3 linked regions of the Anolis sagrei genome follow. Each later gene encodes a partner of the first gene's protein in a complex. Links are inferred from orthologs where the notes say so. Each region holds a gene or a part of one and is shown in the gene's direction. Other genes may lie near its edges.

Evidence for each region.
Region 2: MKS1 (region 1) and TMEM216 share a complex: the UniProt entries of both Homo sapiens proteins name them as parts of the tectonic-like complex. The link is inferred for Anolis sagrei from reciprocal best matches to the Homo sapiens genes MKS1 and TMEM216.
Region 3: MKS1 (region 1) and CEP290 share a complex: the UniProt entries of both Homo sapiens proteins name them as parts of the tectonic-like complex. The link is inferred for Anolis sagrei from reciprocal best matches to the Homo sapiens genes MKS1 and CEP290.

The regions. Positions count from the first base shown.
Region 1 is NC_090031.1:28,096,615-28,100,369, reverse strand, and holds the start of MKS1 (tectonic-like complex member MKS1), read left to right. Parts: upstream 1-1,191; 5' UTR 1,192-1,290; coding exon 1,291-1,370; intron 1,371-2,589; coding exon 2,590-2,693; intron 2,694-2,780; coding exon 2,781-2,848; intron 2,849-3,748; coding exon 3,749-3,755. UniProt on the Homo sapiens protein: Component of the tectonic-like complex, a complex localized at the transition zone of primary cilia and acting as a barrier that prevents diffusion of transmembrane proteins between the cilia and plasma membranes.
Region 2 is NC_090021.1:236,146,102-236,149,856, forward strand, and holds the start of TMEM216 (transmembrane protein 216), read left to right. Parts: upstream 1-1,410; 5' UTR 1,411-1,671; coding exon 1,672-1,684; intron 1,685-3,755. UniProt on the Homo sapiens protein: Part of the tectonic-like complex which is required for tissue-specific ciliogenesis and may regulate ciliary membrane composition.
Region 3 is NC_090025.1:152,526,854-152,530,608, reverse strand, and holds the start of CEP290 (centrosomal protein of 290 kDa), read left to right. Parts: upstream 1-1,179; 5' UTR 1,180-1,481; intron 1,482-3,755. UniProt on the Homo sapiens protein: Involved in early and late steps in cilia formation. Its association with CCP110 is required for inhibition of primary cilia formation by CCP110.

The DNA.
Region 1 (3,755 bases):
CTCTGGAACTCTCTCCCCAGGGACATCAGACAAGCCCCAACATTGGCTATCTTTAGGAAGAGCCTGAAGACCTGGCTGTTCCAGTGTGCCTTTCCGGAATAGGAAACTCCTAGCTTAAGTCCCAAATGCACCTTAGAGATTCAGGATTATCTGCACTTGCACCTATCTCCAAATACCGCCTCATATTACCTGTCAAGTCCAGCACTTTTAAATTGTGTTCATTACATTTGGCCCGACCTGGTTTTAATTGCGTCACAGCGTCATTGTTACTATTTTCTGTTTTGCTTGATGTTTTATTATTTGCTTATGAGTTTATTGTGTATTGTATTTTGTATTGTTGGCGGCCTTTGTAAGCCGCATCGAGTCCTTTGCAAGGTATAAATAAAGTTAATAATAATAATAATAATAATAATTGACTGCCAACTGTAAACCGCCTCGAGTCACCTCTGGGTTGAGAGGAGCGGTATATAAATATGGCAAATAAATAAATAAATATTCTATATATTGTATATACATTATTTTATAGATATTTGTGCTATATTTTATACCATGTATTTTATATTTATTTTATACTATATATTTTATATGTTATTATATATTTATTGTATATTATATTTTTACTCTATATTTTTATTTATTTTATACTATATTTAATTTATACTATTTCACACTGATTCTATACTATACATTTTATACTTGCATATATAAGATAGGATATACACACAAGTTATATTTATTTCTATTCATGCAGAAAGATATACAGAGGCGCTTAAAGCATATACATGCATAGATATCTCTCTATTTAAAGAGACACACACACATAAATAAATAAATACACATTTTCAAAAATCACTCTTCTTCTTATTACTCTTACTCTTAAGCCATACCATAATACTAATCCTGAGACTTACCCTCCTGCTTTTTCCCCTATTTGTCCTCCTTCCTCCTTTCTTTATCTCTGAACCTTCCCTCAGCCTCTACTTCCTTCTCTCTTCCGCCTTCTCTATACGCGCGTCGACGTCATGGCGTCACTTCCGCTTTCCCAAATGCCTGTCATTTCTGTTTCTAGGTCTTTTCCCCCACCGGACAACGACTCCCATGATGCTCCAGGGAGACAGAGCCGGGCTCTACAATGTTAACTGCTGCGCAAAGGATTGTGGGGGTTGGAGTTCAATAGAGCCAGATACTTTTGAGAACCGCAGCCATCTTGCCGTCTCCATGGAAACGCGGCCTAGCAGGAACAGCGCAGCCTGAGACTCGCGTAGGAAAAAAAGAAAAAAGGCTCTGGGTATGGCAGAGGCGGCGTGGAATGAGGACACCGGCGTCGCCGTCTATCGCTCCCGGGACCCCATCGGCAACCTCCGCGTCCGGTGAGGCCTACCGCCATTTTAATCGCCCCTTTTCTCCCGTGAGGCCTAGTGCGGACTCCGGAGCCTTCGCTCGAGTTGGGCGCCACTGTTTCTTCTTCAACAAAACACCTCAGGGAGAAAGGGACTCCCACAACCAGAGATAGATAGATAGATAGATAGATAGATAGATAGATACACATATACATATGAAAACAGTTTCCATATGAAAACATATGGAAACTAAAAAAAAATTAAAATATATTTTCAAAATTTATTAATATTATTTATTATGTATATTGTATGTTATATATTATAGAAAATTATATTGTAATATATTTATAATAATAATAGTAATTTTATATATTGAAATAGATTAATAATATTTATTATATTTATTTAATAATATTTATTATTATAAATTGTATGGTATATATTATAATTTACATTGTAATATATTAATATTATTTATTTTATATATAATGTATATATTGTAGATTTATACTGTAAAATATTATTAATATTGTATATAATAGGTTTCTATTGTAATATAGTAATATTATTTATAAATAAAATTTATAAAATATGTGATGTATTATACATTTTTCTATATTTATAACATTATTTATATATTATGTTATATATTATATATTTATAATCTATAGTCATAATATTATATTTTACAGATTTATTTGGTAATGTATTATATTTTATATATATTGTATATTATAGATTTATATTGTAATATATTATATATTACGTATTATGTGTTATACATATTATAATGTGTATTATATATTAAGTGTTATATATTATAGATTTATATTGTAATAAGTTAATAATATATATGTGTATCATATTAATGGTTTATATACTGTAATATATTAATATTATTTACTATATATTATATGTTATATAGATTAATATTATATACATTATTATTATATAATATGTTATATATTATAGATTAATATTATATTAATAGTGTTATTTATATACCTGTTATAGATGTTATATATTGTAGATTAATGTTTTAATATAATTTTTATATATTGTACATGTTATAGATTAATATTATATGTTAATAATATGTATGATATATGTTGTATGCTATATTTTATATACCTATATATATAGATAGGTATATTATATATATATGTATACACACAACACACACACACACATTATTTGTAGTAGTAGTATTATGTTGTGAGAGGTTGGCTCTTCTTGTCCTCCCACGCAGGGTCGGCCTCCAGCGGGTGACGTCTACCAGTCTTCTCCTTCAGCAGCTCCAAGCCTCCTCCGGCCAGCAGCTCATCGGCTTGGCCACCCTTGGCCCTGTGGCAAGTGAGTGACTGCTTTGGGCTTTTGGGCCGGGACCACATTGGCCAAAGCCGCATGCTTGACCCGTCGGCCTACTCTTGTGTCTTTCAGGTGCCCCTTGTCCGGAGGAGGAGCGCGAAGAGGTCGTAGTTGGATGGCAGGAGAAGCTTTTCAGTCAGGCAAGTCTATGTCGAATGCAGAGATATTATATATATATTTATAGATACACACATGCACATAGATATAATATCTATAGCCATCTATCTTTGGCTGAATGGCCATCTATTGGGAGGGTTTGGATGGAGAAACTCTTCTGCCAGGCAAGTCTAAGTCGAATGCATAGATATTATAAACACATACATATATATGTGTATAGCCATCTATCTTTGGCTGAATGGTCATCTGTTAGGAGGGTTTGGATGGAGAAGCTCTTCCGCCAGGCAAGTCTATGTCAAATGCATAGATATTATACATACATGTGTGTGTGTATTTCTACGTATATATGTATATATGTAAATAAATATATAGCCATCTATTTTTGGCTGAATGGCCATCTGTCGGGAGGGCTTGGATGGTGTCTTCCTTTAAAGCAGAAGAGGGTTGGACTGAATGGTTCTTGGGGTCCCTCCAACTGTAGGATTCTCTGATATACATAATATATATCTCATATATCTATATCTACCTAGATATAGATATTCTGTGGCCATTTATCTGGATGATCCTTGAGGTCCCTCCAACTGTAGGGTTCTATAACACACACACACACACACACACACACATATTCATTCATTCTATGGCTATCTATTGGCTGAATGGCCACCTGTTGGGAGGGATCGGACAGTGTCTTCTGTTAAAGCAGAAGGGGGTTGGACTGGATGACCTTTATATATAAATATACACATAAATTATAACATTGTCACAGTCACCTTTTAATATATATATATCCCATATATTCTCATAACATTCTGATGGCTCCTGTTTTCAATTCTATACTTATGTACAGCAAAAAATTCTGTGGTCACTTCTCCTCTGCCCCAATCATACCATTTCATTCCTTCTTCCGTCCCATGTGCCCTCAGTTCGAGG
Region 2 (3,755 bases), on another chromosome or scaffold:
TGAAGTGCCAAATGGGATTGGCAAGAACTCAACAAGTAGCAGTTTTCTCTTTGAAGAATATTCCCTCATCATGTGTTCCACATCGTTTGTCAAAAAGGCCTCTTGCCTTCATTAGTACCACTGGCAATGCAACTAAGCATAAAAGAACAATCCTCTAGCTTTGCAATATTGCTTTTATCTGGGCAAACATACTCTCGAGGACTTATTAGACTTGTCTTTTGTACTTGTGTTTTTATTAACTATGAGAAAATAAAACTTTTTTCCAGAAACTATAATGTGATTATTTTGTATTAATCTTTCCTTTCACTATCCTGATATTATTATTATTATTATTATTATTATTATTATTATTATTATTATTGATATGAAGAATGTTTCCCTGCTTGTCTAGTCTAGTATTTGTCTTAAAACTAAGTTGTTTAATTTAGTAATACTCCATTATAGAAGAACCACGAGAAAGAAAAAGTTACAGGTTGAGCATCCCTTATCTGGAATCCCAAAATAATCCAAAATACTAAATTGTTCACATGGGAGGCTGCTCTCTTATGTTCATTGTACATGCACAAAATTAATACAAATATTGTATATAAAATTCTTTTAATAGTATAAGAAACAAAAATAAACTTGGCGTTTAAGCATGGCTCCCTCTCCAAGACATGCCATCATGTGTATATGCAAGTAGATATTTCGAAATCCATAAAAATCCCAAATATTCTTTGTCCCAAACATTTCTGATAAGAGAATCTCAGCCTGCACTTCCATTGTCCAGGGATAAGACAGGAATAGGGGAAAGAAACATGCTGTTGAAACAAAGCAACCACAAAATTCTGTGCGTACTCAAATCCTGGGGTATAGAAGTCAAGACAAGCTGTAGCAGTGAAAAGTTGCTTTGTATACTGAAAAGGGAGAAATGAAGGAATAGAAGGGCGGAAAGTCCTTCGGTAAAGATGTTTTCAAGCAGGATCTTGGGGTTTATCCACACTATAGAATGAATATAGTTTGATCCCACTTTAACTGCCATGGCTTAATGCAAAGGAATAGTGGGAGCTGTAGTTTTACAAGGTCTTGAGCCTTCTCTGCCAGAGTGCCACTGCTTCCTCAAACTACAAAGCCCAAGATTTCATAGCATTGAGCTATGGCAGTTAAAGTGGGGTCAATTAATAAAGTCTACAGTGTAGATCAAGTCTGGGCAAACTTGGGCCTTCCAGGTGTTTTGGACTTCAAAAGTCCAAAACACCTGGAAGGCCCAAGTTTGCCTAAGCCTGATATAGATGCATCTGAAGGGCTGCTTATTTCTTGGTTCTTAGTTCTGCTTAGTTGCTATGGGAGGCCTTTTTCCGCCCCCTGATTGGTGGGGGCGAGGGGCGGGGCCAAGGGGTAACTATGGAAACGGAGGCGACCCCTGTCGGGCTCTTGTGAGGACGAAGCGGCTTCCTCTTTAGAGTCCACGTCGTTGTTTCCGGCATCGAATGCAGACTCGCGCCACACTGACCGGCCTGTGTTTGGAGCCTGAGAAGTCCAGGGCTAGAGCGGCTCCGATCCCATAGCGGAAGTGACGTCTTCATCCCTAAGTCAGGCCCTTCTCTGTGGGGCACAGATTGACATCCGGGCGAGGAGAAGTAGCAGCCGGCCGCAGGCTTTCTGCGTAGTTGGTGTCCATGGAGATGGAAGATGGCGCCTCGCAGTAAGTGGTGGCGGGGACTGGAGAGGTCAAACTGCATTAATTCTACAGTGTAGATGCACTCAGTATCATGTGAGGACGAGCTGTGTCCCTGGAAGGAAGTGGGGGAGGCAGAAAGGAAGAGAAGGGAAGGGAAACTGGGGGAGGAGAAAGGGAAACCTCTCTGCAGTCAGGACTCCTAATGTATGGAAGATCCAGACTCAGCAGTATGGAGACTCTCACACTAAAATTAGATCAAATATTGCACTGCTTACAAGATTGGTAATTGAAAGCTACACAAACTGGCAAACGATCATGTCTGACGATTTTAATGATTTTAATTTACAGTTATATGTTATTGCTTTAAGATTTGTCATGTATTGTTTTTATTCTTATGTGAATTTTTGCCAATTATTATGCTGTACACCTCTTTGAGTCCCCCTAGGAGTGAGAAAAGCGGTATAGAAATGCAATAAATAAATAAATAAACTATTGAAATAGCTAAAACCATCAAAATCTATTGAAATACATAATTTGTTCAAGGGTACCAGGTGATCTCTCTGGCTAACAATGCCTCATCCTAAGCTTCGAGTTATAGGATTCCAGTGCATGTTGCCATGGCAGCTGAAGTCGGATACTGACTGTGTGATGTGAGAGGGTCCTTCCATTCTGGGCACTTGCCTATAACTCTTAGCCAGCCATGGGGTGCATCTCCACTGCGGAATTAATGCAGTTTGACACCACTTTAACTGCTATAGCTCAATATGGAATTATGGGAGTTGTCGCCCCAACTCTATTCTCCATCTTCATCGCTATGATACTTCACCTTGTTGATGGGAAGCTTCCCACCGGAGTGGAAATAATCTATCGGACAGATGGCAAGCTATTCAACCTCAGCAGACTGAAAGCCAAAACCAAGGTTACAACAACATCTGTTATAGAACTCCAGTATGCTGATGACAATGTCGTCTGTGCGCATTCAGAAGAAGATCTACAAGCCACTCTAAACACCTTCGCAGAAGCATACGAGAAGCTCGGCCTGTCACTGAACATTGAGAAAACCAAGGTGCTGTTCCAGCAGTCACAAGCCAATCCCTCTCCAATGCCAGTAATACAGCTTAATGGTGTAACATTAGAAAATGTGGACCATTTCCGCTACCTTGGCAGCCACCTCTCCACCAAAGTCAACATCGACGCCGAAATACAACACCGCCTGAGCTCTGCAAGTGCAGCATTTTCCAGAATGAAGCAAAGAGTGTTCGAGGACCGGGACATCCGTAGGGAGACCAAGGTGCTTGTCTATAAAGCCATTGTCCTCCCAACCCTGCTATATGCCTGTGAGACGTGGACAGTCTACAGACGTCATATGCAACTCCTGGAACGATTCCATCAGCGCTGCCTCCGGAAAATCCTGCAAATCTCCTGGGAAGACAAGCGGACAAACGTCAGTGTGCTGGAAGAAGCAAAGACCACCAGCATTGAAGCGATGGTCCTCCAACATCAACTCCGCTGGGCCGGCCACGTTGTCCGGATGCCTGACCACCGTCTCCCAAAGCAGTTGCTCTACTCCGAACTCAAGAATGGAAAACGGAATGTTGGTGGACAGGAAAAGAGATTTAAAGATGGGCTGAAAGCCAACCTTAAAAACTCTGGCATAGACACCGAGAACTGGGAAGCCCTGGCCCTTGAGCGCTCCAGCTGGAGGACAGCTGTGACCAGCAGTGCTGCAGAATTCGAGGAGGCACGAGTGGAGGGTGAAAGAGAGAAACGTGCCAGGAGGAAGGCGCGTCAAGCCAACCCCGACCGGGAACGCCTTCCACCTGGAAACCAATGCCCTCACTGCGGAAGAAGATGCAGAGCAAGAATAGGGCTCCACAGCCACCTACGGACCCACAAGGAAATCCATAATGGAAGACCATCTTACTCGTCCAACGAGGGATCGCCTAAGTAAGTAAGTAAGTAAGTTTTACAAGGGATGTGTCCTTTTTTGCCAAAAGAATGCTGGGGCCTCAGGATCCTATAGGATTTTGCAGTGGTAGTTAAAGTGGTGTCAATCTGCATTAATTTGACTGTGCAGCTGCACACATGGTCCAGA
Region 3 (3,755 bases), on another chromosome or scaffold:
GTAGAGAAAGAAGAAAGGAGAGAAAGAGGAAAAGAAAAGGGTGTAGAAAGAAAGGGGTAGAGAATGAAGGAAGCAGAGAAGGAAAGAAAAAAAGAAAAGGAAGGGAAGAGGGAGCGAAGGAAGAAGAGAAAGAGTGAAAAGGGGAGGGAAGGAAAGAGAGAAGGAAGAATGAAAGCAAAGAGCGAAGGAAGGAAAGAGGTAGAGAAGGAAGAAAGGAAAGAAAGAGGAAAAGAAAAGGGGGGATAGAAAGAAGGAAGGAGAGAAGGAAAGAAAAAAGGAAAGGAAGGAAAGAGGGAGCGAAGGAAAGAGGGAGGGAAGGAAAGAGAGAAGGATGGATGGAAGCAAAAAGCAAAGGAAGGAAGGAAGGAAGGAAGGAAGGAAGGAAGGAAGGTGAGAAAGGGAAGGAAAAGAAAAAGGGAGGAAGGAAAGAGGCAGAGAAGGAAGGAAGGGGAGAAGGAAAGAAGAAAAGGAAAGAAGGAGAGAAAGAGGGAGGGAAGGTTGGTCACAGCAACGCGTGGCGGGTACAGCTAGTTATGAATATGAAAATATTCCAAAATCCAAAAATATCTGGTCCCAAGCATTTCAGATGAAGGATACTCAAACTGTAGGGTCTGAACACGGGTCTTCACCAGCGTCACGTGTGAACACTTTCATGGGAAACCACCCACTTTTTTTCTGCGATGGCCACCTCTAGCAATAGATGGAAGCATTCCTCTCACTTAACATACAGGTAAGCCTTGTGAGATGCAGAAAACAGGGGCAGCCCTACTACACCGCCCTGAGTCTTTCTAAACCCTCTTCCTCCCTCTAAAGATGCCAGGAACCCTCTCCTTACCTTTTAGCACATTACCGCCCTTGGCAAGAAGCCGGCACAAGCAGCCCTGCTTCCCACATTAACTCGGAGGCTCTGCTGGAGCATCTCTTCCACCATGTCTCTCTCCAGCCCCTGAACATGAAAAAGCAACTGGAGACTCCCCTCTCGCACTGCGCAGGCGCTGACTCTGTCTCCCCCTACGGCGTGACGACAGAGCATGCTGAGAAGCCGCTCTGGGGGGAAAAAACTCCACGTCCCAGCATGCTAAGCGGCCGATGTTGTGAAAGTCCGCCTCTCGGTAGTGCGTAGAGCACTGTGGGTAGCGTAGTCTTCGGCAGGACATTTTGTGGGAGGTTAAAGAATATCCGGGTTCTTTTGAGCCCGGAAGAGAAGTGTTTGATGGCGTCGCCCAGCAACGGCCATCTCTCCTCCTCCTTCCTCCTCTTTGTCAACGGAAGCCAGGGGAAAGGGGAGTGAGCGGGAAGGGCGGGAGACGCTTGAGCAGGATCAGCGCTGCCTTTGAAGGTGTCGGTTTTACAGCCGCGAGGCCTTGTGGTCGCCCAAGGAAGGCTTAGGGTGAAGGCCCTGCCGCCCTTCAGCCATTCTCTGTGAAGTAAACCTACTGACAGTTTAAGAGAAAGTACCGGGCCCTGCGCAAACTATCGAGGTACTATTCGTATTATTATTATCGGGTTGCTGTGAGTTTTCTGGGCTGTATGGCCATGTATGTATGATGCAGCTAAACATCAAAAAAACCAAGATTATGGCAACAAGAATGATTGACAACTGGAAGATAGAGGGAGAAATCGTGGAGGCCGTGACAGACTTTGTATTTCTAGGTGCAAAGATTACTACAGATGAAGACTGTGGCCAGGAAATCAGGAGACGCTTCCTTCTTGGGAGGAGAGCAATGTCCAATCTCGATAAAATAGTAAAGAGTAGAGACATCACACTGGCAACAAAGATCCGCCTAGTCAAAGCCATGGTATTCCCTGTAGTAACCTACGGATGTGAGAGCTGGATCTTAGAGAAGGCTGAGTGAAGGAAGATCGATGCTTTTGAACTGTGGTGCTGGAGGAAAGTTCTGAGAGTGCCTTGGACTGCGAGAAGAACCAACCAGTCCATCCTCCAGGAAATAAAGCCTGACTGCTCACTGGAGGGAAGGATACTAGAGACAAAGTTGAAGTACTTTGGCCACATCATTAGGAGACAGCAAAGCCTAGAGAAGACAATTATGCTGGGGAAAGTGGAAGGCAAAAGGAAGAGGGGCCGACCAAGGGCAAGATGGATGGATGGCATCCTTCAAGTGACTGGACTGACCTTGAAGGAGCTGGGGGTGGTGACGGCCGACAGGGAGCTCTGGCGTGGGCTGGTCCATGAGGTCACGAAGAGTCGGAGATGACTGAACGAATGAACAACAACAATGGCCATGTTCCAGAAGCATTCTCTTCTGACGTTTCGCCTACATCCATGGCAGGCATCTTCAGAGGTTGTGAAATCTGTTGGAAACTAAGCAAGTGTAGTTTATATTTCTGTGGAATGTCCAAGGTGGGAGAAAGAACTTTTTGTCTGCTTGAGGCAGGTGTGAATGTTACAATTAGCCACCTTGATTAGCATTGAGTAGCCTTGCAGCTTCAAAGCCTGGCTGCTTCCTGCCTGGGGGGCTCCTTTGATGGGAGGTGTTAGCTGGCCCTGGAGCCCCCGGTGGTGCAGTGGGTTAAACCCCTGTGCCGGCAGGACTGAAGACCGACAGGTCGCAGGTTCGAAACTGGGGAGAGGCAGATGAGCTCCCTCTATCAGCTCCAGCTCTTCATGCGGGGACATGAGAGAAGCCTCCCACAAGGATGATAAAAACATCAAATCATCCAGGCATCCCCTGGGCAACGTCCTTGCAGACTGCCAATTCTCTCACACCAGAAGCGACTTGCTCCTGACACAACCAAAAAGAAAAGAAAAGCTGGCCCTGATTGTTTCTTTTCTGGAATTCCTTTGTTTTTTGAGTGTTGCTCTCTATTTACCATCCTGATTATAGAGTTTTTAAATACTGGTAGCCAGATTTTGTTCATTTTTGTGGTTTCTTCCTTTCTGTTGAAATTGTCCACATGCTTGTGGATTTCAATGGCTTCTCTGTGTATCCTGACATGGTGGTTGTGAGAGTGGCCCAGCATTTCTGTATTCCCAAATAATATGCTGTGTCCAGGTTGGTTCATCAGGTGCTCTGCTATGGCTGACATCTGTGGCTGAATCAGTCTGCAGTGCCTTTCATGTTCCTTTATTCGTGTTTGGGCGCTGCTTTTGGTGGTCCCTATGTAGACTTATCCACAGCTGCATGGTATACAGTAGACTCCTGCAGAAGTGAGAGGATCCCTCTTGTCCTTTGCTGGAAATAGCATTTATTTGATTTTCTGAATGGGCCTGTAGATAGTTTGTAGGTTGTGTTTCTTTATCAGCTTTCCTATGTGGTCAGTGGTTCCCTTGATGTATGGCAAGAACACTTTTCCTCTGGGTGGATCTTTGTCTTTACTCTCGTGGCTTGTTCTCGGTCTTGCAGCTCTTCTGATGTCTGTGGTGGAGTATCCATTGGCCTGTAGAGCCCGGTTTAGGTGGTTCAGTTCATCTTGGAGAAGGTGGGGTTCGCAGATTCTTTTTGCATGGTCTGCCAGAGCTTTAATTGTGCTTCTTCTTCTTCTTCTTTTTTACTTGGGTGATGTTTGGAGTTTTTATGTAGGTATCTATCCATGTGTGTAGGTTTTCTGTAAACTCTGTGGCCCAATTGTTGATTGGGCCACACAACACTCAAAAATGGGAATTCCAGACAAGAAACAGTCAGGGTTAGCTAATCACTACCCAACAAAAAATTCCCCCAGGTAGGAAGGAGGCAAGCTTTGAAGCTGCAACGCTATTCAGTGCTAATCAAGGTGATCAGTTGCAACATTCACAC